Linked DNA regions of Canis lupus familiaris. The protein of the gene in region 4 binds, or shares a complex with, the protein of the main gene of each other region. Links are inferred from orthologs where the notes say so. Each region holds a gene or a part of one and is shown on either strand. Other genes may lie near its edges.

Region 1 (3,938 bases), on a different chromosome or scaffold from region 4:
TGCCTATCAAGGCTTTCTCAGAGGCCCCTAATTTTGTCTATAATCTCCACCTCTTCTCCCACTCACTTGGGAAACCTTAAGACCTGAGTTTCCTGAGCTGTGGCCTGAACATCCTGATGACTGTCTGAGGATAATATTGTCAGGGGTCACATTCTAGACAGGTCATCTGAACATTCACAAACACTTAAGAAAGGCTGGGTCTGGAAGTTAGGTCATGGGACCCGGACAGAGCTTCAAAGCCAACCATCTGCTTGGTCATTGGTAGCAGCTGGTAACTGGAAGAGCTTGAGAGGGAAATTAGGAAACCCAGTGGAGTTCCCAGCTCTGTCACTAAGTAGCTGAACTGAGTGAGTCACTTAAAACTCTTTGTTTAACCTCAGCGTCATGATCTATAAAATTGGGATAAGGACAGTAGCATGGTCTCCCCCGGCTTTGATGGGAAGGAAAATCACAACTCATCCGAGCTTCAATTTCTGCACCTGTTACCAGTTGTTAAGATTTGCGTCCTGTCCATCTCACGAGGTTTGGGGGGGGGGGGGGGGTGCGGTGGTGAATGAGAGAAGGCACAACCTTTCGGAGTTTCAGTTTCTGCATGTGTAAAAAGCTCAGAATGCACGGCCAGCCTGCCCATAAAATTCCTGTTTAAACAGGAAAACAGGGCAGCCCGGGTGGCTCAGTGGTTTACCACCGCCTTCAGCCCAGGGCCTGATCCTGGAGACCCGGGATCGAGTCCCACGTCGGGCTCCCTGCATGGAGCCTGCTTCTCCCTCTGCCTGTGTCTCTGCCTCCTTTTGTCTCTGTGTCTCTCATGAATAAATAAATAAAATCTTAAAAAATAAAAAAAAGTAAACAGGAAAACAGACAGCAAACTTTGCAAAAATGTAGAAAGCTATGCGTGTGTGAATTACGTCCTACTGAAAAGACAACAAGCAGACCTAAGAGGTGATTGTAGGTCTCTTTCCTCCTGGCTCCAGGGCTGCAACCCCGCAAACAGACGCCAAGCCCACTTTCTTCAATCCTCCCCGCGGCCGGCAGCCGTCACGGCGTCGGCGGCCCCACCCGGCAGGGCTCCTGCGGGCCGGGAGGGGGCGTGGCCCGGGACCGCCCCGCCCCTCGCGACGCCCCGCCCCCTGGCGACGCCCCGCCCCGCCGCGCCCGCGCTTGCGCCGTGCACAGCCAGCGGCCTCGAGCGCCCCGGCGGGAGGTAAGGGGTTTGCGGGAGGCCGCCTCGGGGGCGTCAGGCCCGGACGGGCTTTGAGGGCCGGGCGCTGAGCCCGCGCGCCGCAGAGGCGCCCCCTGGGGAAGCCCGGCCTCAGGTCCCGCGTGCCCGCGCTTGGGAGGCTCCTCCCGGCTCCCCGAAGCGCCGGTTTCGTTTCTGGAAGCTCTTTGCGAAGCCGGTGTGGGGAGGCGGCCTCCCGGGGTCGCGGGGTGCGAAAGTTCCCTGCAGCTGCCGTGCCCGCGGCGCAGGCTGGGCCCGGGGCCGTCGGGGTCGCCCGGGTCGCCCGGGGGCGTGGTCCCAGGCCGCCCGCGCATCCGTTCTCTGGTTGGGGCGGCGGGGGTGGGGGGGGGCGCCGTGGGGCTCGGGGGCCCGCGAGGGGCGGAGGACCCGGACCCGGAGCCGGAGCCGGTGCTTCTGGAAGCTCCCGCAGCTGCGCCCTCGATAAGCCCGGCCTGGGAGGGCTCAGGCGGGAGACCCAGGGAGCAGCAGGGGCCGTGACCTTGCCTTCCAGAGTCCCCGGGTCAGGAGCTCGGGGAGGCCTGCCTGGGGCCCGTGTGGATCCCTGCCCTGGGAGGCGGCCGCTCGTCGCTCTGGGGGACGCCGAAGGTCGCTGGCACTTGGGGACTTTTTCTGAGAAATGGGGCTTTTTAACTTATACAGTAAATAGTCTAAATCATGTAGTAACCCCCCCCCCCCCCCCAGTACTTTTTTCTCACGGGAAACAGGAGTAGTCATGGTACCCAGGTGATGATAGTAGTCGTAAGCCCCGAAAAGGGTCAGGGTCGTTTGTAGAGCACCTGCCCCGCAGGCCCCCGCCAGTGTTAGTCTAAGTGACCCGTTTCCGGTGAAACATCAGACCTTCCTAGAGAGTCTTTTTATTCTTGAAATGATTTTCCAGTTACAGAGAGGTGGCAAAAGTAACAAAGGTCTCTGCAGCCCCCTTTAATGTTAACACCTTATATAACCATAAGTACAGTCATAAAAAATTATAAAGTATCATTGGTACGTTTTTTTGTTTTAAGATTTTATTTATTCATGAGAGACACACAGACATAGGCAGAGGGAAATAGCAAGGCTCCCGCCGGATTTGATCCCAGGACACCAGGACCACAACCTGAGTCAAAGGCAGACTCTGAGCCACCCAGGCGCCCCTCGTTGGTACAATTCTAGTGACCAAATTGCTACCTTTTTCTCGGATTTCCTGACTTTTTTATACTAATGTCCTTTTTTCCCCCCTATTTCAGGATCCAGTATAACATCCCACATTGCATTTAATTGGCATGGCTCTTTAGTCTTAAGTCTTTCCTAACCTTAACGCTTTTGAAGAATCCTGGTTAATTATTTAGCAGAGTGTCCCTCAGTTATGTTTTGTCTGGTATTTTCTTTTTCTTTTAAGATTTTATTTACTTATTCATGAGACATACAGGGAGAGAGAGAGAGACAGGCAGAGGGAGAAGCAGGCTCCATGCAGGGAGCCCAACGTGGGACTCGATTCCGGGTCTCCAGGATCAGGCCCTGGGCTGAAGGCGGCGCTAAACCACTGAGCCCCCCGGGCTGCCCCTTGTCTGGTATTTTCTTACAATTAAAGTTAGGCATTTTTAAAGTTATGCATTTTTGTTGATACCACAGAAGTGGATGTACCCTTCTCAGTCCATCCCACGAAGGGTTCATGTTATGACACACTGCTTTTGGTATTACTGTTGATCACTTGGTTGAGGTGTCTGCCAGGATTCTCTAATGTAAATTAACTGCTTTCCCCTTGAAATGAATGGATATCTTGAGTTTCTAAACTATGCAAATATGTTGTTCTCCTCAAACTTTCAGTTGCTGATTTTACCATCCATTGGTGGATCTTGCCTTCAGCAATGATTACTATTATGTTCTAATGGTGATTTTTTGTTTCCCCTCATTCCTTCTTTTATTTTTTTATTTAAGATTTTATTTATTTATTAACGAGAGACACAGAAAGAGAGAAGCAGAGACACAGGCAGAGGGAGAAGCAGGCCCCAGGCAGGGAGCCTGATGTGGGACTCGATCCCAGATCCCGGGATCACACCCTGAGCCAAAGGCAGGCACTCAACCGCTGAGCCACCCAGGCGTCCCCATTCCTTCTTTTATTAATTGGAGTTCTGTAAGGAAGGCTTGCCCCTTTCCATTTGTTTAGTCAGTTATTTTTTTATATAAGTATGAACTCATTTATTTTACTTTTTGGTTATTTTTGTTATTTATTTATGTCTCAGGTTGTTCCAGCCTTGGCCCTTGGGAGTTTTTTCAGGTTGCTTCCTTTTGACAGGCTTCCATCTCTCTTTGAGAACTTCCTTACTTTCTAGCACCATAAGATGTTCCACGTTTATCTTGCGTTTTCTCTGCCCCAGTCCTGGATCACCCACTTCTCCAAGGATCCGTGATTTCCTTTTTTGGAGAGTGGTATTTAAACACCAAGATCAGGGCACTTGGTGTGCTCATTGCTACTAGAATATTATTGTTTGTGGTTCTTTGCAGAAAACAGCTAGGACTATATGTAAATATATATTTTATTTTTATAAGTATTTTTCCTTTATATATAAATAAAATATATCATTCTATTTATTACTTATGTAATTATGAAAAATTAAGTATTATATTTTATTTATATCGTTTGTTATGTTTATTTGTAAATATATGTTTCTTAGCTATATACATATATATCCACATATTTCATGGATACACAAAGATTTGT
Region 2 (4,017 bases), on a different chromosome or scaffold from region 4:
ATTTAAAGTATATAGCTCAGTGGTTGTGGTATGTTTACAGAATTGTATAATCTGATTTTAGAACATTTTCATCATCCTGAAAAGAAATCCTGTACTCCTTAGCAGTCATTTCCTATTCCCACCCCCTCAACCACCCCAGCGTTAGACAACCACTAAGTTGGCTTTTTGTCACTATAGATTTGCCTATTCTGGACATTTCACATAAATGGAATTATATAATATGTGGCCTTTTGTGTTTGGCTTATTTTATTTAGCATATTTTAAAGTTCATCTATGTTGTAGCATGTATCAATGCTTTTTTTTTTACCCAATTATAGTCCATTAATAGACCACATTTTGTTTATCCATTCATAACAAACAAAATGGATATTTGTTTTGTTTCCACTTTTTAGGTATCATAAATAATAACTATGAACAAGCTATGGGCAGTCAAGTATAAGTTTTTGTGTGGATATATGTTTCTCTCTTGGATTCTCTTTTTTTCTCTTGTATTTCTCTTGGATTTTAGCTAGGAGTTGAATTGTTGGGTCGTATGGCAACTCTATGTTTAACATTTTGAGTAACTACCAAACTGTTTTCCAAAGTGGCTATAGCATTTTACATGCCCACCATGAGGGTTCCAATTTCCCCACTTCCTTACCAATACTTGCTATTATTTAATTTTGATGAGACCCAATTTATTTATTTCTTCTTTTGTTGTCTGTGCTTTTGGTGTTGTACCTAAAAAAAACCTTCTAATTCAAGGTCATGGAGATTACTCCCAGGTTTCTTGTAGGTGTCTTATAGTTTTAGCTCTAATATTTAGGTCTATGATCCATGGAAACTCATGTTTAAGAACCAACAGATTGGGTCTATCTATAATGGTTCTTCCCAAAGACAATTTTCACCCTACGAAGAATGTTTAAGTCATCTATTAGGATAATGTAAACAATAATGAAACAGCTAAATAATGCGTATCAAGCACTTGGTATGTACTAACCATTTTACATTACATAATCTTGTTCAATCTTCATTATGGGTTTGTGTTATAATAACCTGCACTTTTCATGATATAATACACTTTATGATGATGTAATACATATATCTCCTCCTTTAATGTGAAAGAGGATAGCAACACTTATATGGTTAGAAAGGAAGGTTATCAGACTAAATAAGCTCATGTGTGTTAAAAGTATGGCACAGTGCTTGGCAGAACAGGGCTCAAAGGATGAGGGTGCCTTTTCTATTGTTTCATGATTACCTCTTCCACTGAAAACCCACCCCTCCCATTGGTCAAGAAATCGATCAGCTCCAAGGCTGATTTTTGTATTCTCCTAGCATCTTGCTCCCCCTTTTCCTTTCATTATGATTTGTGATTTTACTTTTATTTGTGTTATTCTTAAGACTATCACATCTCCAAGTTCCATAAAGGCATTGGGTGCAATTTTGTCACTGCAAGATTCCCCAACACTCAGTATAGGGCTGGAGGATATAGTGATCTTTTATTTTTATTTTTATTTATTTATTTTTTAGTGATCTTTTAAAAATGCACACTTGACTACATCACTTTTTGGTTTAAAATCCTCCAGTGGCATATGGATTACACTATGAATAAAGTCCAAATTCTCAACCATGGCAAACAGGTCCCTGATTGGTCACTACCACTCTCTCCACTTGGAACACACTTGTTTTCTTTCCCAAACACATCTTGCTGTTTCCTGAATCAGAGTCTGTTTCCTTCACATGTCAGCTCTGACTAGTTTCTCATCTTTTGGGTCTCAGCTCAAATGTCATGTCTTCCCAGAGCCTTCCCTGACCACCCTGTCCAGTGTTACCAACACACTTCCACCAAGTTATTCTTGATCATACAACCTGTTTCATATTACTCACAGACCTGAACTTTCCTTATATATTAATTTAATATTATTATAGCTAACAGTTAAGCACTCACCATAAGTACTTTTCATACATTAATTAATGATGTGCCACTTAATGCTTTTCAACGAGCTCTCCAAAGTCCAAAATTGATTTGTAGTGCTTGTAGTGTAAACACTCTCATCCAGAGAGATTTCAAGCTACCAACGTGACATCACTGAGCGCCAATTTGGGAGCTGATGGGCAGCAGCAACCATCATACAGTATTTGCCATAGTAATATAGCAGTAGTAAATAACCTCAAGAGCACAGATAAAACAAAAATGTAGTAAAATAATTAGGAAATAATGCGTTTTGAGTATTTATTACCTTGTTTTAATATAACTTATTTAACTGTAAGTTTATATAATTTAATTTTTGATAATGGCTTATAAGGGACCTGCAAAATTTCTTAGGCATTCCTCAATCGTTTCTAGCGAGCCCATACGGATGGGCAGGCATATTTTCCAGATGAGGGACCTGAGGCACAGGAAGGTTAACTTGTTCAAGGCTGCAGAGCAAATAAATCTATACTCCAAAATGTATCTTCAGAACCCAATAAAATGCTTGGCATAGCGCCGTTGTTCAACAAACAGTTGTAGAATACATAAATGAATACATATTTAATTTTCTTTAAAAGCATAAAAGGAAACATCCTAACTTTGAAAACATACACACAAGAATGAAACTAACAACTCTTCAATACTTGCTCACTAACCTAGGAAGATACACCTTCCCGTGTCTACTTTCGGCAGCACAGAGGGCTTTTACGATACACCTGCTGTCTTAGGAGACGTCGCGCAATCCTTTGCTACGAGCTTGAGACGCCCGGCTCTACGTCGCCCCGCCCCGTCTCGCCGCAAGGCATCCTGGGAGCGGTAGTCCCCAGTCTGGGCGCTCCGGCGGCAGCAGCGAGGCGCGCTTGACCGCGGAACTACAGAGGGTGGCGCGCAGGTCGCTCGCTTGGCTTTTCCGCCTCGCGTTTCCCTCCCGCCTGCGCGCCCGCCCCAGCTATCATGGCGGCTCCCTTGGCTCTGGTGGTGGTTGTGGCCGTGACCGTGCGGGCGGCCTTGTTCCGCTCCAGTCTGGCCGAGTTCATTTCTGAACGGGTGGAGGTGGTGTCCCCACTGAGCTCTTGGAAGAGAGGTGAGGCCACTGGCTGGAGTAGGTGGCCAGGCCCCGCCTGTGCTCTCCTGGCCTCAGTGAATGGGAGGCGGGGGCAGTGGCCTCAAGCTCAAGATTCTGAAGGAACTGACCGGCTCTGGCGTCCTCAGAGGGCGAGAGGGCGGGGCTGCCAAAGGGAGGGGGCGTGGGACTGTGGGGCTAGGTTTGGGCCCTAGGGGCCGGCTCACCTGAGCTGTGGGGAGTTGAGGGGGTGTGTCTCACTCGGGTCCAGAGCAGAGGGGCGTGGTCTGAGGAAGAAGAGGTGTAAGAAAAGGGAGTGCTGGGTGGGGTGGGATTTGCAGAAGGGATTGGGATATGATGAAGGATCGCACGTGGTTCTCCCCGGGGTATGGTCCAGTGAGTGAGGGGAGTCCCCAAAGAGGGGACCAATTTTGCCTAAGCGAGTAGAGTGTGTGAGTGTGCTTAGACGCCTGTTCTCAGTCTGGGGCTTGCCGTGCAGCATTTCCTACTGGTTGTTCTTAAGTTCTTCATCAGGCACTGTTTTCTACCAGCGCCTACAATGAGAGTTTGTGCTGAAGGATCCACAGGCTAGTGGGAGAGACAGGTAGTTATAATCCTTTTTGAAAAATGTTCAGTGTACATCCCGTTCCTTCCTTGGAGTTTCGAGAAAGTGTTCTCTCCCTTTCCAGTTTTTTTTTTTTTTTTAAGATTTTATTTATTTATTCATGAGAAACAGAGAGAGAGGCAGAGACACAGGCAGAGAGAGAAGCAGGCTCCGTGCAGGGAGCCCGATGTGGGACTCGATCCTGCGACTCCGGGATCACACCCTGAGTCAAAGGCAGACGCTCATTGGGCAGCCCGGGTGGCTCAGCGGTTTAGCACCGCCTTCAGCCCAGGGCGTGATCCTGGAGACCTGGGATCGAGACCTGCTTCTCCCTCTGCCTGTGTCTATCTCCTCTCTCTCTTTCTGTCTCTAATAAATAAATAAAATCTTAAAAAA
Region 3 (3,978 bases), on a different chromosome or scaffold from region 4:
AAACATACCCAACAATCAAATCAATACTGGACTTTTAGAACAGTAAATTATTAAATAGGTTGATTTCTTTGTGTATAAATTCCCTAACATTAAATTATGTTAGTATTTCAAACAATACCCTTTCTAAACCAAACCTGAAATCAATCAACCTGTGTTGTTGTTGTTTTTTTCCCAGCAAAGAGAAAGGGCATCTCTTTAAGACACTTTCCAAAGCAGTAAAAACACCTTAGTGTTTCAACCTATCTACAACAAACTCTGCTGATCCTGTGCATTTCACTGAGGTGCTACCTGAACCCACAAATCATCATCAGATAAAGAACTTGAACTTCCTGACTCAGAGTCCAGCTCACTGAATCCACCTAAATCCCATTCGGTGCTAGATTCACTCGGCACGTCTTCTTCCTCAGTGAGGAAACTGTGGCCAGGTTCAAGGCAGGAAGGATAAACACGAGCTGAGAGGCAAAAGAAGTTGGAATCAAACTGGAAGAGGCCTAAGGTGGTACCTATGTTGATCCACTGGTCTCCCCTAGTGTCATATTCATACACGGTCACCCGGTTCTTCTTCCACTGTGGGGTGCGAGAGGTGATCAGCAACAGTTTTTGGCCGTGATTGATTATCCGGTAGTTGTTGGTCTCCGACACCAGGGGAATATTGTTAATCTGCCTCCATTCCCCCCTGACTGGGTTGTAGACCTTCATGACGGGGATGTCGCAGATACAGTAGATCTCATCATTGAAGACACAGGCTTCCTGAAAGTCATTGCGCTTGAGGGAAACACACTTGAGCCACATATTGTGGCTCGGATCATAGCAGAACATGCGCTTACTGTTGAGGGCATAAAGATAGTTCTGGATGACCATTAGATCAAAGGATATAAAGGAATGGGGTAGCGGAGCCACCAGTGCCCACTGGTTTCTCTGGACACTGTAGCACTCCACCTCCTTTAACTTAACACCGGTAATGGGGTCTCGCCCACCCAAAATGTAGATGTAGCCATTGAGGTAGGCCACATCCATGCCCTCCCGGCACAGCAGGCGGTCGGCCAGCTGCTGCCAACTATTCTGGGCTGGCTTGTACACCCAGAGGTCCTTCCTGGGCTGCGCGGCCAGGTAGATGTCGTGGTCTGGAGAGACGCAGACAGCTAAGGTGGTGACAGTCCTGGTGTGAGCAAGGCAGGTCAGAGGCGAGGGCACTTTGTAAATATCGCCGGTGTATGGGTCACAGCACAGAAAGGGATCTCTAGGATGTCCAAAGAAGATCACCATCTTCTTAGCACACACGCCCAGCCTCTGGGGTGGGTTTTCAGCTATGGGTACAACAGAGGAGCTGCTGCTGCTGCTGCTGCTGGTGCCGCTGCCAACCCCACTGCCCCCACTACCACCGCTGCCGCCGCTGCCGCCGCTGCCGCTGCCGCCGCCACTGCCACCGCTGCTGCTGCTGCCGCCGCCACAGCTGCCACTGCTGGTCTCTGGCTTGGGCGCCAGAGCCTTGCACAGCTTGTCACCATAGCGCATCTGCAGGGCCCCCTCGATAAGGTCCAGACAGTACTTTTTCACAATGGTGTTGGTCAGCAGCCCCTCCAGGTAATCTTTATTTTCATCAGTGAAGTGTGTCCAGCGGACACACTTGAAGACTTCCGCAGCGCTGGGTCCGCGCTCCTTGGGAGCCGCCTCCAGCCACTGCACGGCCACATGACACACGGTCTGCTCCAGCTCTATGTTCAGACTATCCAGGCGCAGGATGGACAGCAGCTGGGCGAGGGTCAGATCCGCCAGAGTCTCTTCCCGAATCGAACCCATCTGGCTGAGCTGCTTGAAATTGTGGGCTATGAAGGACTGGGCCTGGGATCGCAGCTTGCGGTGGCCGAAGGCGTCGGCGAACTTGAAGATGGCGGTGCAGTTGGCCAGGTCGAGGCGGCGGGCCAGGAAGGAGGCGCAGGCCTCCCGCACGTACTCGAGCTGCAGCATGTCGGAGGCCGCGTAGAGGCGCTCCACGTTGGCCTCGCTCAGCGACACGCGGCCCGTGTAGCAGTAGTCGACCAGCACCTCGAAGGACTCGGCGTCCACGTCGTGCATGGTCACGTTCGCCTGGTGGCTCTCGTACATGCCGCCCGTGAACATGCTCTTGAAGTAGGGACACGCGGCCGCCAGCACGTTCCGGTTGCAGGGGAAGAGGCGGCCGGTGCCGGGCCCGCTGCCGGGCGTCACCACCTCGATGGTCACGTCGCACAGCAGCCGCGCGTCGTAGAAGGACTTGAGCTGCGCCAGGAGGGCTGCGGAGTGAGCCGCGTCCTTCAGCTCCTCCGGGCCCGTGAAGAAAGCCGAGACCGTGGGCTTGTGGATCCTCTTGGGCCGCTTGCCGCCGCGGGGACTGGCCAGGCGGCGAGAACGCGGAGCCTCTTCCCGGGACTGCATGGTGGAGATGGCGGCGGGGTACGAGGGCGAGAACGGGTGCACGGACCGGGCGCGGGCTCCTCCTCGCCCTCTTCGCGCGGGCGCTAGATCGCGGCGTCTCCGGAGAGACTGCAGCACGGGTCCATTTACCTAATCCAGCCGTATGCCGCAGTGCCGCCTCCCTTTATCACGTAGCCAGCGCCTGACTCACCCGCTTCCAGTTCCGCGCCCTTTTCTCCGCCTCAGCTCGCCTTACAGAACCCGGCTGGACGGAACCGAGAGAGCCGCCACTGCCGCGCTGGCAATACCGGTAGGCGTCCAGCGGAACTACGGCTCCCAGGCTGCCTTTCGCGCCCCGAGGCATGCCGGGGCCCCTCCAGACTCCAGGGGATAGGCGGATGGCCCGGAGCCGCTGTGCACGCTGGGAGTGGTAGTTTCCATAGGCATCGCGAGATTTATCGGCCGTTCATTGTTTTCGGCCGACGGAATTAGAAATCGCTAATTTTCGGCCGTTCGCTTTTATGCTTTAGAACTTTGAGCCTGGAATCCGGGTTAGCCCTCCTGGTTTTCGTATCTGCCACCTTGTTGGGCTCCGCGCTCGGGACGGTTTTTTTTTTTTATTTTTTTTTTTTAATGTGAATAACGACGGTGTGTCCCAGCGCCGTGTGACGACGACGACGTGAATTGCGTAGGTTAAATAAGGATGCTCGGACTGCACAGTCGCGGGTTAGGCTGATAAAGACTCTCGCGGCGCCCGTGAGGTGGAGGTCGGGTGCCCTTTAGCTTCTCTTTGCTCGTTTAGGAGATCATCGAGCGCTCCCTCTTGAGATGTAGGAGCCCGTGGGGGGGAAAAAAATCGAGAGCCCTGCAGGTTTTCCTCAGAGATGCCGCCCCTTCCGCGCCCCCGCCTTTTTGTAATACATTCTTTTTTTCTTCCTTTCCCCAAAGATTAGTTTTAGGTGTATGATTTCAGTGATTCTGTGGGTTGCTCGGTGTTCATCAGGATAAGGGTCCTCTCCATCGCCTTTCGCCCATCCCCCCCCCTTCTTCCCTGGCAACCACCGTTGTGTCTTCTGGATTTAAAGTCGGGGGTGTTTTTGTTTGTTGTTGTTGTTTCTTTTCTTTTTTAGCGATTGAGTTGGGTTTGTTTTTTGGGTTTTTTTTTTTTTTGAGTTGGTTTTTAAGAGCAGTTTCCGGTGCCCCAAGATCGAGCTGGGTTTCACGGGGAGCCGCCACCCCCCGCACCCCCTGACGGTCCCCCCTCTGGCCGACACCTCGCCTCCGGGGGTGCGTGCCACCGGGTCATCGTGGGTTACAGCGGGCTGTTGAGATTGGGTTCCGCTCCTGGGTGCAGTTGCGAGGGTCCTGCAGAAGGTGTAAGGTCACGGGCCCACCATTACAGTGACCTACAGAACAGCCCCCACGGCCATAAAAATTCCCTGTGTTCCATCCCTGTATGCTTCCTTCTCCCTGCCCTCCCACCCACCCGCGCCCGCCCAGAAACCACTGATTTTCCTTGCTGTCTCGTTTTAACTTTTTCCCCAGGATGTCGTATAGTTGAAACTGGACAATGTGTAGCCTATT
Region 4 (3,795 bases):
CCGGGGGACCGCCCCACTTCCGGCCAGGCGGAGAAATGCTTGCTGGGGGATGAAGTTCTCCTGATGATAATGGCTCCCTTCTCGCTCCCTTGAATTCCACCCACTGGCACCAAGTCTGGTCAAGTGAGATGCAACCCAGGACAGAGTCCTCTGACTGGCTCCCACGCACGAAAATCTCTTCTTTCATCCAAAAGCTGTAACAAACTTGGGTGCATTTATCTAAAGTGGATACTTACTTTCTCCCCAGGAACCCAAAGTAAAAAAACAAAAGCCACTGTATTTTTTACATTGGGACCCAATACACAAGTATATAAAAGTATAGTTTCATGACCTGATACTTGGGAGTATTCGATCACAACAAAAATACTTTTGCGCAAGCAGTAACCCAATATCAACAGAATAAACCAGAATGTAGGATTACTGCCCCTCCAACCTCCACTCTCCCCACCAGAGGACAACTAGGAAAAAAGGGGCGGGAAGCAACACAAAGTAAAATCCAGTTCAGCTTGGTGGTTTCCTCTTTATTGATGTGCCTCCTGCCTTCCCCCCAACAATTTCAGTCCCTTCCCTCTACCCCCAAAAATGAAGGTAATGAGAGGAAGGGAATGTTGGGGTTCTGAGCCCCTTGGGCAGTTAGGGAACAGAAACCAAAACAATCACCGGATGTGACAGAGACGGACAATCAAGAAGTCTAGAGCAGAGTGGGAAAGGTCGAAGAGGAAGGGGAGAAAGGAGAGGTCCAAGAAGCCACCTCCCCCATGAGCCCTCCTGCTGAGAAGGGCTGGAGGAGAGCCTCAAACATTAGGAAGTGCAGGTCCCAACAAAGGGAGGTGAGGGATGAGCCCAAAGAAGGAGTAGGTCGAGGATGGGGGCCACCTCTGTCTTTGTAGAACCGGACCCCCCCCCACGTCAGGGGCAGCAGCTTCACAGACCGTAGACGCTTTCATCACTGTAGGCGATGTATAGAAAGAAGTCTTCTTCGTGGTGTTCCTGGATGGAGGCAGAAAACTATGGCACTCAGACGTCGGGGCTGTGGGCACGTGAACCACCCACTGCCCAGACACGTTTTTTGGAAAGCCCGTTCTTTCTGAAGACCCCCAAACGCTAGTGCCCTGACTCATACTCACTCATTTGCTCCAGGCCTTAGCAGCCAACAAGATTACCGCTGGCAGCAGTCCTGGGCAAAAAGATCTCAAACTGTTCCAAAATCTGCTGCCTTATACTTACCTGGCAGGGGAGATACCATGATCACAAAATCTGCTGCCTTGGGATGGTGGGGAAAGTGGACAAGAGGGTGGATCCAAAGCACTGCTGTAGTTCTCACCTCTATTCCCAATACCTTTATCCAAGCCCTCAACCTGGGACTACCCTCAAAATTTTGAGGTCACACGTAAAACTGAGAGCCAGCCAGCTAGTCCAAGAACTGCTGACCTGAAAATCTCTTCCAACACCTCTGCGGAGCCCCTGACTCCTTCCCAGTCACCATACCTGGTATAGCTGACCCATTGTGGCACTGGTGGGTGGAATGACGTTGTTGACAAAGAAAAACAAGGCATCCTCAGCTCGGAGATGAATTCGCTTCCGGATCAAGAAGTAGAACTGACCAACTGCCAAAGAGACAAGATACGATAAAGTCACAGGGATCAAAAAAGGCCTCAGAAGAGCAGTCACTACGGGGAGGCAGCATTTTCCCACCGACACTGCACCCCCACGCACAGGCAGCAAACCTGGGTCCTGGGTCAGGTTCCCACCTGTGAGATCAGAAGGCACCAGATACTTTTTTTTGTCCAGGTCTCCTATCCGAGCTTTGGGAGCCTTTTCTACTATCACCTATAAAAAGAAAGACGGAAATTAGGAAGCATCGAGGGGGGACAGCCCCACAGTCACCCCGTCGAGAACTCCAGAAACAAAACTGCTAGCACCCCAAGCCATCCAACTCGTTTTTCTTTGTCTGGGAACACGCGGTGCAGCCTCAAGCAGAGGCATCCTGACCCCGCAGCGTCAGGCTCACCTCGATATCCTGAATCCCCCGGCTGGGCGTCATAATAAACGAGGATCTTAGGCAGGCATGGCTCGTGCGAGCCGACGACAGCGTCGGCCTCGACGAGCCGGCCAGCTGGGAGGTGGCCATGGGAAGCCCCGACTGTCAAACTCCCTGCAGCCTCCCCAGCACTCCACACGTCTCCCTCGGCCAGCCGCGGCCCCCCACCCCCAGCTCCCTCGCCGCCCCGCTCCTTCCAACCTCCGCTCCCGGACACGATAGCCCCTGGCCCGGTCCCCGGCCACCCCCGCCAGCAGCCCGATGCCCTCGCTGCCTCGCCGGACCCCAAGCCGGGCTGTGGCGTCAGAGCCAGCGCCCCGCGTCCGCGGCCCCGGCTATGGTTCTCACCGGAACCCGGTCCGGGTATTTCTTTCTGATCTTCTCGCCCTCAGAGCGGCGTTTCTCGAACGGATGCTCTTCTTTATACACGAACTTCATCCTCCCGGGAACCGGGCTGGACCGGGCTGGGCTGAGGGAACCCGGGGGGGGGCCGGGACGGGGGGCGGCGGCGACGGCGGCGACGCGCGGGCGGACTCAGCGGAGCGATCCCGGGACTTGCGCCACTTCCCTATTCACCAACCCCGCCCCCGGCCGTCGGGGCCGCCCCGCCCGCTGGGTTACGCTACTAGCGTAACGGCCCTCACGCCGCCGGCGTAGCACCACCTACTGACCGCCCCCCTCACGCTGCCTGCGTAATCGCTTTGGAATCAGCTTGAGGGCTACGCAGCCGACGTAGCCAAGGTGGTTGGTCTGGGCTATGGTCGAAAATAACCGAAAACCCACATTCCGCCGTGCCCCACCGAGCTGGGCACCACAAGGGCTAGGAACTGCCGATTGTATTCTGAGGCTTGGTGCTCCGAAAAGTCTTTTCGGATACAAGGTGAAAAGGGGGAGGGGGGGAAGCAGAGAATTTTAAGGACAGCTATTCACGAAACGCGTCGGTACGCCGAAGGCGGCTGCTGACTCCAAAACAAAGTAGTACCCAAACGGAGAAGCTGGATCTCCGGGAAGAAAGGAGGGCAGACACGAAACAGGTATTCGCAGAAACGCACAGAACGCCTAGGTTCCCAGGAGGAGTGGACCAATGGGGACCGGAGAGGAGGTCCGAAAGGTAGGGACTACGTCAGCGCGGAGGAACACCTTCGGCACTGGCAGCAACGAAAAGTCATGTGATCTCAGAGAAGGGCGGAGCGTCACGTGGCGGCCGCGGGAAGTAGAGCCGGCCGCGGGGGGAGGGGCGCCGGCGGGAGGGGAGGGGGCGGGGCCGAGGGCCGGGGCACTCTCTGCGTCCACGTCGGTGCGCCTGCTCACGGACCGCGGCTTCCTCCTGCCCTGCAGCTCTGGTTCGCCGGGACCCACGGCTGTCCCTCCGACCCCACCCAGGGCACTCATCCTGCGGCCGAGACCCTTCCCACCAAAGGTCGACTCGTTCCCTGCTCCTTCCTCCGGAGCCAGCACCGCTGCTCCCTGACCCTCGGGCCTCGGCCTCCGCTTTGGGGAGCCAGGGTGGATGTGAACAAAGACTCCTCCCCTCATTTCCCAACCCTGAGAGAAGGACCTAGGGCAGCTTTGGTTTCAAAGTTATAATGCATGGTTTAAAAGAGAGGAAAGAAAAAGAGAGCGCGCCGGTTACAGGTCTGAGAGTATAGGAAGAAGGGAATGTAGAGGGAAAGGTTGGGGGCAGGGGGACAAGTTTGGGGAAAATCCAGTGGCCCAAAATCCCAGTTCCCCACCCACAGCCCAGCCCTTGGAGT
Region 5 (3,500 bases), on a different chromosome or scaffold from region 4:
TCTCCATCTGCCTTTCTCTGCTCATACACTCATTCTCTCTTAAAAAAAAAATTGGAAATGGGGAGAATGGGGAATAAAAAAGGAAGAAAACAAACTACCTTCACTAATATCTTGGCTGTAACCACCATCTGGTTCAATGTCAGAGGGGATCATAATGTGCCATGTAGTCATGCGGGCTTCTGCTTCCAGTCCAAACCCATCCACATTGCTGAAAAATTCCAGTCAGTTTAAACTATACGAAGGAAATGATTATAGCTGAAAACCATAATGACTAAGTATAACTCTCCAGACACAAGTAAATGCTGGCTCTATCACAAAGTTCTATAATTGGCAGACAGATATTTGGCAGGTGCACAAAACAGAACTACTACTTTATCATGAAAATGCCATTTTAAAGGAATGATCTCACAAATCCACTTGACTAAATGTAATTAAACTAAACAACAGCATCAAGATGAGCATCTTAATATTTAAGGTGTTTTTTGATCATGATTAATATTTTTACCTAAAAATTACAAAGTTCCTAAGAACATTTTCCTCATATGCCTATGCACCACCTCCCCTCAGTCTCTCTCCCATCACCCTTTGCTCCAGGAGCAGTGACAAATTTGCAGTTTCCCGAAAGTGCCATATGCTTTCCTCCCCCAAGGCAATCACATAGATGGCTCTTTCTTCCTACATCACTTTCCCATCCTTTTTGGAGAGTTAACCTCCTTGTCAAACACATTCAAGTTGTAACTCAGCAGGTGTCTCTTTCCAGGTAGGAGCACCTGTTCCATGCACCCAAAGAGCCATGCTTCCAGCAGAGCACTTAGCGCACTTAGCACACTTTGCCTGGTCTGGCTTAGTTGTCTATTTTCCCTCCTAGACTGCATGTTCCAAGACCCTGCCATGAGGTCTTTCTGGCTCACATTTTATCCCAGTCCCTAATTCAATGTCCAGACATTAAATAAGTATCTGTCAAAGAATCAAGGAAAAATACTAATTACGCCCATTTAACATATACCACTGCATTTATTCATTATTCTTTCCTTTTTATCCCTCTTAACCTCCAACATTGTATACTTTGTTTATTTTAAAAGTAAACTTTTTAAAAAAAATTACATACATGACTTAAGGTGATTAATGACCAATTTAAAGACATGGAAAATTACAGAAAAAATACTCATTCTTTTATTGCAAAAATGTTACCCTTGTGTTTATATTTTCCATGAAGTTTTAAAACTGAGATTAAAAGGAAAAAAATGTTACTATCAAAAAAGTAGGACAGAGTTTTGGTGGAATGACAAATTCACGGTGGCAAACTGAATGTGAAAAAGTTACCTTCCAACATGTAGATTAATAAGGCAGTGAGCCAGACAGCTAATGAATTCTTGGTCATGGTTCCCAGGTCCCAGGATCAAGTTCCTGTTTACAGTCAGTACCCTGAGCGAATCTAGGAGAGCTACTTGCTGTGGAACGGTTTTGTGTGCCCGTGAGAATTGGTACAAGATGGTCCTATTGAGGCAGTGATAAACTGCATCAAGTGACAATCCCTGTGATCTTCTTTTTGACTAAAGGTAAGAAAGATACTTTATTTAGTAAAATAGAAACAAATGGTCTGCTTATCATTCACATATAAATATTAGCTTTATTACATACCAGGTGCCATGCTCAATACAAGGTGCTAAGTTAAAAACCAAAAAGCTCTTGCTATTATGAGGTTCAGAACCCAAGAGACACATAAGTATAATTTAATGAGATGAAAACCACATGCCCCATTGAGGAGAGCTGCTAAAACTCCTGTAGGCAGAGCAGCCTGCCTGAGTACATATGGAAGTGTAATCTAAGGAGAATCTCCTGCAACAAAAGTTTTGTTAGGGTGAATGATCTCTATTCACAATTACTGAGAAAAACAAACAAACAACCAAATCTAAAATGTTAGTAAAAAAACCTTTGACATTCTAGATTGATTTCCTCACTTGTAAACTTTTCTTTGGCTTAAACACAAATTTATCTCTTAAAAAATTCTTAGATGACACGAAAGAACCTATGCACCATATGCTAATAACACGTGGTAACAGTATTTTCTAGTTTCTACGCTATGTGTTGAATAAGATTAATCACTTGTGGCAAACCAGGCCAACATTCCTAGTCAAAAGTACCACACACACACACACACACACACACCCACTCGCTCACTAAAATGACACCTTCAAAGAACTACAATGAACTCTGTGAAGATTTAATTATAAGAAGAAAATATTCCTTTCATATCAACTCTTTGTGCTCTGTAAACCTTTACATACAAATGTAGCATACTGTAAAAACAAACAAAAAAACCAAGTCATCAAATTGTATTAACTTAAAACCATATTTAAACCATAAGAAAGTTACCCAGGTATTTGGGTAGCAAAGAGCAATACCAGTGGGGAAGCCAGTGAGAGCCCAGAGCTTAAGAGAACTAGGCAACTTTACAGGGACACGCTGGTACCACCCTATGGGTAAGGAGGGGAAGGGTTAGAAGTCTATGGTTTTTACTCACTTTCAACAAGCTGAGCTTTGTTTGTATTAAATGTTAACATTATCTTATTAGTTACATTTATTTCCAATAATTTTGACACATTAGGAAAAGTTTTTCAATAAGAAAATATGTACTCTAAAACTAATAGTGACAATAGATTACCTGTGCAATTAGTTGAATTATAAAATCTATAAGAAGTTTAGATTCTTTGTTGAACATGCCTTGCCAAAGTTTGTCCACCACACGTTGTGTGAAATAAAACACATTGTTCACCAATACCTGGTAGCTTCCTCCACTGGTAATAGGCAGGGATGCATCTTCCCCTAAATTTGAGCAGGAAAAAAAAGAATCTAAGAAACTGTTATCAACCAGCAGAAGACCAGAACCTCCAATAAATGAAACTAAGGCAAAATGAGTTCATCTACTACATTAAAAAATAAGACTACTAGCTCTTATGTACTACTTTAAGAAAATGATGTTCATGGCCAGAAATGACGACAAAAGTTGGAAGAAACCATTTCTGCAGGATAAAATAGTTATAGACTGAGAGTATGAAGTCTCCTACTGCCTCGAGAATGTCTGTGATAAGCAAATAGTTCCTCAACTTAAACTAGCAATGACAGAGGATCTCTGAGAAAAAAAAAAAAAAAGCTGTCAGGTTATTTGCTGTGAATAGATTCTGTATAACTAATAAAGGGTAAAACAAGTCATCAAGCAAAACTCTAGTTCTGAATGTACCTTTGAGCACAATGAAGTAATATATGCAGGAGAAGTTCAGAACAACTGTGAAAAATAAACTACAATCAGTGCCGGTGGGGCCAAAGGGGCACTTCTTCCTCCCTCCACGATTACCTTCAGTACTGTTTCTCTTCAAAAAGCTACTCCAGTGCCTTCAGCGTGTTTGCTGTGTCCATACCACTTTAACACTAATCTTCCTAACAAAATGCCCTCTGTAAGCTCCCCCTTCCTATATTCTGGAGCCCCACTGATTGTGATT
Region 6 (4,183 bases), on a different chromosome or scaffold from region 4:
CTCAATATCTTGTTCAAATGTTTTTCTGGTACCTACTACATGCCAGACACCATTCCAGACACAGATTGTTTACTAGTGAATAAAACTGACAAAATTTTAAAACATTTCATTTCAGAGGAACCATTTTTTTCTAGTAGTCACATTTATTATTTACTTTTTTTTTTTTTCCAGTAAGCTCTACTCCCAACGTGGGGCTTGAACTCATGCCTGTGAGATCAAGTGTTGCATGTTCTACCAAGTAAGTCAGACAGATAATCTCATTAGAAAAATAGTGCCAGGGGTATCTAACCAACTTCTAACTGTTGAAGGCAGTTAAAAAGTTTGTTTGCATAAAGGAACTTAGAAAGGTATCTGGCACGTAAGCTGAACCTCAAATTGGGTGCCGTGAGAACTCCATAAAGACAGACCAGAATATTATTCAAGAAAAGCACCAGTTTTGGCTCAGAGCTGCCTGGGGTTGAACATTTATCATCCCTTTCCTCCTTAGTGACTCTCAACATTTGAAGTGCTCCATGAATCCCTTCTGTGTCTCACCTGCCAGAGATCTAAGCCCAGAACAGCAAAGTTTTCATAGGCATAGATGTTGCTATCAGGAGAGTACTCAGGGTTGTCGATCTCTGGGTGGATCCAAGTGCCCTTGTAATCTGGGTTGTCAATCTGCCGGGGCTTCCACTCGCCCTGCAGAAGGGGAAGGGAACCAGTGGTTGAGTGGAGGTCAGTGTGCTCCCCACTGTGCGCTCCCACCCTGCTCAGAGCTCCAAGCTCACCTTGTACTCAGGGTTCTGAATTACAGGTGGTTCCCACTCTCCATCCATCTCTTCATCCCAGTCCTCTGGCTTTTTAGCATCAGGGTCAGGAATGTGCTCAGGCTTGTCCCAGTCCTGAGGGAACACAAAAAGGTCAGTCAACCCAGCTGTCCTCTACACCTTCCACATGGGGAGCTTCTGCCCAAGCACCAACCTCAGGCTTGGAGTCTGTGGGGTCATCAATCTTGGCCCGCTCGTCCCAGTCTTCAGGCTTTGAAGCATCAGGATCCTTTATCTTCTTGGGAGGCAGGAAGTCCCAATCATCCTCCAAGGAGCCTGACTCCACCTGGCTGTTGTCAATCTTCACCTCATAGGTGTTATCCGGCCGCACAATCAGCGTATACAGGTGTGTGAATTCATCATCCTGAAGAGGGTGGGAGATGAATGGCCCCGCCCATCAGGCTTGGCCTCTGAGGCTTCCCTATCAGCCACTTGTCACCACCCCCAGTCACACCTTGCAACGAATGTCCTTGTTGATCAGGACGTTCTTGCCCTTGTAGTTGAAGATGACATGAACCTTCTTGGTGCCGGGGCCACAGATATCCGGGCCTAGGTAAAAAGTGGGTTTAGTTAGAGCAAGAAACTGCCCACCACTGTAAAGCTCCCAACCTTTACAAAAGAAGGCTTGGTTCTTAAATGCAGATCTGTAAAGGGTTACAGGACAAGAATCATACCCTGACTGGTTCTAAGGAGCTGAAAGTGGAGCCTTTTAAAAAGGAAAAACAGAAAGAACAAAATATCACCTCTGGAATTTAATGCCCTCACTGGAAATAGCTACAGAAAATCCCGTGAACTGCAAGTTTCAGACCAATAGTAACAATGCAATGTCCTCAGCCTTCCTCGCAAAGACAAGCCTTAACTACACAAGTATCTTCCCATGTTCTCAACACTACCTGTGGTGGCCCTTAAGGAACCCAGATTTAGGTCTCCTTCCAACTAATCAAAGGTCAGCGCCAGGGCGGGGTCCCTCACCAAACATGATGTTGTACTCAGAGTCTCCGTGCATGTCCGTCTGGTCCAAACCATCTGGAAATAGCTTCACGTAGCCGCCCCCACAGTCGATGTTTTGCTCATGTTTTACGGTGAACTGCACCACCAGTGTCTGGCCTTTGTTGCTGAAGGGCTCAAATCTGGCCGACAAAGCGTAAAAGCGGGCATCCTGGCTTGTCTGCAGCCCTAGCAGGAGACCATAGTGAGGTCATGGCTCAGCCCCAAGCTCCAAGGACCCTAAGCACTGGAGTCAAAGAAGACTGCCCCTTCCTCCTGCTCATGGGGATACCCACGCTGTGTGACATGCACGGCTTCCTCCAGGAAGTCCTCCTGAATCCCAACATCCACCCGTCCCAGGCTCTTACCTTTATCCTTCTCCTGGTCACCGTAGAACTTGCCGGAACTGAGAACAAATTTACCAAAATCTGACTTGTGTTTGGATTCGATCCAGCGGTCGGTCCACCCGTCTAGGGGATCAAAGGGGCAGGTCAGTGCGGCCGTACTGACCTCTCCCCACGAATAGCTATCTGCCAATGGCCTCAAGTTGCTGAAGACTGGAAAGGAGATATCCCCTGACTGACCCCACCCCAACCTCTAGTTTGACATCTTCGATGACTTAAGGGCTCCTCCGGCGAACCCTAACTCCCGCCGCGGGAGTCCGCTGTACCCTCGACGCTCCCCAGGGACATGGAAGGAAGGATCGCCTGCGGCTCTGGTCCCTGGAGGCCACCGTATTGGTCCTCTAAGCAGTAATTACAGGGGACAACGCAGATCTAGGCTGAGGGGCCGCCCTCGTCGTCGGGGCGGCCTCGAGACCGGACCAGGCCTTACCTCCGTCCAGAAACTGCTCCTTGAAGTAGATGGCGGGTTCGGCAGCGGCCAGGCCGACGAGGCCGAGCAGCAGCGGTACGGGTAGCAGCATGGCGGGGCGAGGGGGCGGCGGCGCGCGGGCCCTTTAAACCTCTCCTCCGGCGGCGGCTCTGCAGTAGGGACGGACGCTACCGCCGGCCGCGCGTTTTTATACCCTACCGCCCCTCAAACCAACCTGGCCCGGCCTCTTGTCCCGCCCTCCGCACCTTATCATTGGTCTGCGGCCACGACCCTGACTTTCCATTGGACCGCTGTCGTCTGAGCATGTTAGGCTGTGCCTCGGAACGCAGGGTTCCCAGATGGCCGATTTCTATTGGCTACACAGCTGGCCAATGAAGGTCGACCACGCGTTGTGGGGGCCGCCCACCGGTGTGGTGGGGGCCTCGAGCCCCTCTGCCCAGGTCATGTGACCAGACCTCGACCCAACCCCGCCCTTGCCCGCGCGCTTAGCTCCTGGTCTGGGCGTTTAAAGAACGCGCGCCAGTGCCCGTGTCACCTCGCAGGACCTGGACCCCGCTCCAGCTCGCCCTCTTTTATCCCCTCTGCGAGGAGGTGTGGGCCAGGTTTTCCTAACCACTTTCTACTCTGCAGCTGGGGAGCCCCTATTCCCACACGCTCGCTCTCGATCTCGCCCTCCCCCGCCCCAGGCCAGGATGGGACAGAAGGCACCAGAATTCAGGGGCTGGGGCTCTGGATCTTCATTTCACTCCAGAGCCACAGCCTTGCAGGCCAGAGAGTTCAGTGCCAGCTCTCTCCTCTCTGGCCCCTAGTGGTCCCTAGTGCCCTGACAGCCTGTCAGACTGCTGTTGAGTGACTGGGACGAGTCACTTAGCCTCTGAAATCACAGGAGCCCCGAAGAGGCTAGGAGGAGCATCCTTGGCTAGGTGCCGTTCTACAGAGCCGCTTTCAAAACTGTTAGGGTTGTCCTGGGACAGAAGAAAGGAAACCTAGAAGACAAAGATGTGACTATAGGCTGTGGCTCCTAGAGTTTGGTAGCGTTGTTTGTCTGATTGCAGCCTCTCCTTTAAACCTTCCCTCAGCCGGTAAAGGGGTCGCTGCCTGTGGTCTCCCACAAACGGCCTGACTTTTGCAATTAAACGGCTAAAGAGGAGAGGAGGGGGGTTCCGTTAAAAAAGAAAAAAATGAGACAGATGGTGGGGAAGATAAGGTCCGAGGGAGATGGGCAGGACCCCTGAGTCTAGACGCTCAGAAGCCAGAGGCACGTGACTGACACCATGTCCCTCCCCCCAAGCTGCAGGAAGCAGGAAGGCGCTCTGGGGGTTTCCCAAACTCTAAGCAAACAGGCCCTGGACCTGGGAACTTGGAAGTGGACTGGGGAAGGGGGTGGAATCCTGGCAAAAAAGCAGGGAAGGCGTGCTTCCCTGATAGTGGTGGAGACTCAGAAAAGAGAAGAATGAGGAGTCTTGGAGAAGTTGGGGTTCTGCCCCAGGCAGTATCCAGTATCACTCAACCTGCATGAGGAGCCAATCTGGGGTGATCACTCCAAGCCTGCCACT

The links.
Region 1: the proteins of GABARAP (region 4) and STX17 are in contact, whole or in part, in a crystal structure (PDB 7BV4), measured with the Homo sapiens proteins. The link is inferred for Canis lupus familiaris from reciprocal best matches to the Homo sapiens genes GABARAP and STX17. Residues at the interface, in NP_009209.1 of Homo sapiens: Tyr5, His9, Lys13, Glu17, Lys20, Ile21, Arg28, Pro30, Lys46, Lys47, Lys48, Tyr49, Leu50, Pro52, Leu55, Gln59, Phe60, Phe62, Leu63, Lys66, Arg67, Phe104; in NP_060389.2 of Homo sapiens: Ala169, Glu170, Ser171, Trp172, Glu173, Thr174, Leu175, Glu176, Asp178, Leu179, Glu181, Leu182.
Region 2: the proteins of GABARAP (region 4) and TP53INP2 are in contact, whole or in part, in a crystal structure (PDB 8T31), measured with the Homo sapiens proteins. The link is inferred for Canis lupus familiaris from reciprocal best matches to the Homo sapiens genes GABARAP and TP53INP2. Residues at the interface, in NP_009209.1 of Homo sapiens: Tyr5, Glu17, Ile21, Tyr25, Arg28, Pro30, Val31, Ile32, Lys46, Lys48, Tyr49, Leu50, Val51, Pro52, Asp54, Leu55, Gln59, Leu63, Arg67, Phe104; in NP_001316358.1 of Homo sapiens: Glu31, Val32, Asp33, Gly34, Trp35, Leu36, Ile37, Ile38, Asp39, Leu40, Pro41.
Region 3: the proteins of GABARAP (region 4) and KBTBD6 are in contact, whole or in part, in a crystal structure (PDB 4XC2), measured with the Homo sapiens proteins. The link is inferred for Canis lupus familiaris from reciprocal best matches to the Homo sapiens genes GABARAP and KBTBD6. Residues at the interface, in NP_009209.1 of Homo sapiens: Tyr5, Glu8, His9, Glu17, Ile21, Tyr25, Arg28, Pro30, Val31, Ile32, Leu44, Asp45, Lys46, Lys47, Lys48, Tyr49, Leu50, Val51, Pro52, Leu55, Leu63, Arg67, Phe104; in NP_690867.3 of Homo sapiens: Ser663, Asp664, Asp665, Asp666, Phe667, Trp668, Val669, Arg670, Val671, Ala672, Pro673.
Region 5: the proteins of GABARAP (region 4) and WDFY3 are in contact, whole or in part, in a crystal structure (PDB 3WIM), measured with the Homo sapiens proteins. The link is inferred for Canis lupus familiaris from reciprocal best matches to the Homo sapiens genes GABARAP and WDFY3. Residues at the interface, in NP_009209.1 of Homo sapiens: Glu17, Ile21, Lys24, Tyr25, Arg28, Pro30, Lys46, Lys48, Tyr49, Leu50, Val51, Pro52, Asp54, Leu55, Leu63, Lys66, Arg67, Phe104; in NP_055806.2 of Homo sapiens: Glu3342, Lys3343, Asp3344, Gly3345, Phe3346, Ile3347, Phe3348, Val3349, Asn3350, Tyr3351, Ser3352.
Region 6: the proteins of GABARAP (region 4) and CALR are in contact, whole or in part, in a crystal structure (PDB 3DOW), measured with the Homo sapiens proteins. The link is inferred for Canis lupus familiaris from reciprocal best matches to the Homo sapiens genes GABARAP and CALR. Residues at the interface, in NP_009209.1 of Homo sapiens: Glu17, Ile21, Tyr25, Arg28, Pro30, Val31, Ile32, Lys48, Tyr49, Leu50, Val51, Pro52, Leu55, Phe60, Leu63, Ile64, Arg67, Phe104; in NP_004334.1 of Homo sapiens: Asp199, Trp200, Asp201, Phe202, Leu203, Pro204, Pro205.

The regions. Positions count from the first base shown.
Region 1 is NC_049232.1:57,222,230-57,226,167, forward strand, and holds the start of STX17 (syntaxin-17), read left to right. Parts: upstream 1-1,138; 5' UTR 1,139-1,204; intron 1,205-3,938. UniProt on the Homo sapiens protein: SNAREs, soluble N-ethylmaleimide-sensitive factor-attachment protein receptors, are essential proteins for fusion of cellular membranes.
Region 2 is NC_049245.1:24,279,633-24,283,649, reverse strand, and holds the start of TP53INP2 (tumor protein p53-inducible nuclear protein 2), read right to left. Parts: upstream 2,801-4,017; 5' UTR 2,611-2,800; intron 1-2,610. Other genes in the region: PIGU (phosphatidylinositol glycan anchor biosynthesis class U protein), read left to right, coding at 2,909-3,038. UniProt on the Homo sapiens protein: Dual regulator of transcription and autophagy. Positively regulates autophagy and is required for autophagosome formation and processing.
Region 3 is NC_049243.1:9,450,968-9,454,945, reverse strand, and holds the start of KBTBD6 (kelch repeat and BTB domain-containing protein 6), read right to left. Parts: upstream 2,801-3,978; 5' UTR 2,416-2,800; coding exon 274-2,415; 3' UTR 1-273. UniProt on the Homo sapiens protein: As part of the CUL3(KBTBD6/7) E3 ubiquitin ligase complex functions as a substrate adapter for the RAC1 guanine exchange factor (GEF) TIAM1, mediating its 'Lys-48' ubiquitination and proteasomal degradation.
Region 4 is NC_049226.1:32,414,291-32,418,085, forward strand, and holds GABARAP (gamma-aminobutyric acid receptor-associated protein), read right to left. Parts: upstream 2,599-3,795; 5' UTR 2,480-2,598; coding exon 2,390-2,479; intron 1,831-2,389; coding exon 1,752-1,830; intron 1,608-1,751; coding exon 1,489-1,607; intron 991-1,488; coding exon 925-990; 3' UTR 501-924; downstream 1-500. UniProt on the Homo sapiens protein: Ubiquitin-like modifier that plays a role in intracellular transport of GABA(A) receptors and its interaction with the cytoskeleton.
Region 5 is NC_049253.1:31,496,260-31,499,759, reverse strand, and holds part of WDFY3 (WD repeat and FYVE domain-containing protein 3), read right to left. Parts: intron 2,827-3,500; coding exon 2,666-2,826; intron 1,554-2,665; coding exon 1,324-1,553; intron 209-1,323; coding exon 99-208; intron 1-98. UniProt on the Homo sapiens protein: Required for selective macroautophagy (aggrephagy). Acts as an adapter protein by linking specific proteins destined for degradation to the core autophagic machinery members, such as the ATG5-ATG12-ATG16L E3-like ligase, SQSTM1 and LC3.
Region 6 is NC_049241.1:49,649,563-49,653,745, forward strand, and holds the start of CALR (calreticulin), read right to left. Parts: upstream 2,801-4,183; 5' UTR 2,719-2,800; coding exon 2,628-2,718; intron 2,264-2,627; coding exon 2,162-2,263; intron 1,983-2,161; coding exon 1,779-1,982; intron 1,356-1,778; coding exon 1,261-1,355; intron 1,171-1,260; coding exon 961-1,170; intron 882-960; coding exon 768-881; intron 679-767; coding exon 535-678; intron 1-534. UniProt on the Homo sapiens protein: Calcium-binding chaperone that promotes folding, oligomeric assembly and quality control in the endoplasmic reticulum (ER) via the calreticulin/calnexin cycle.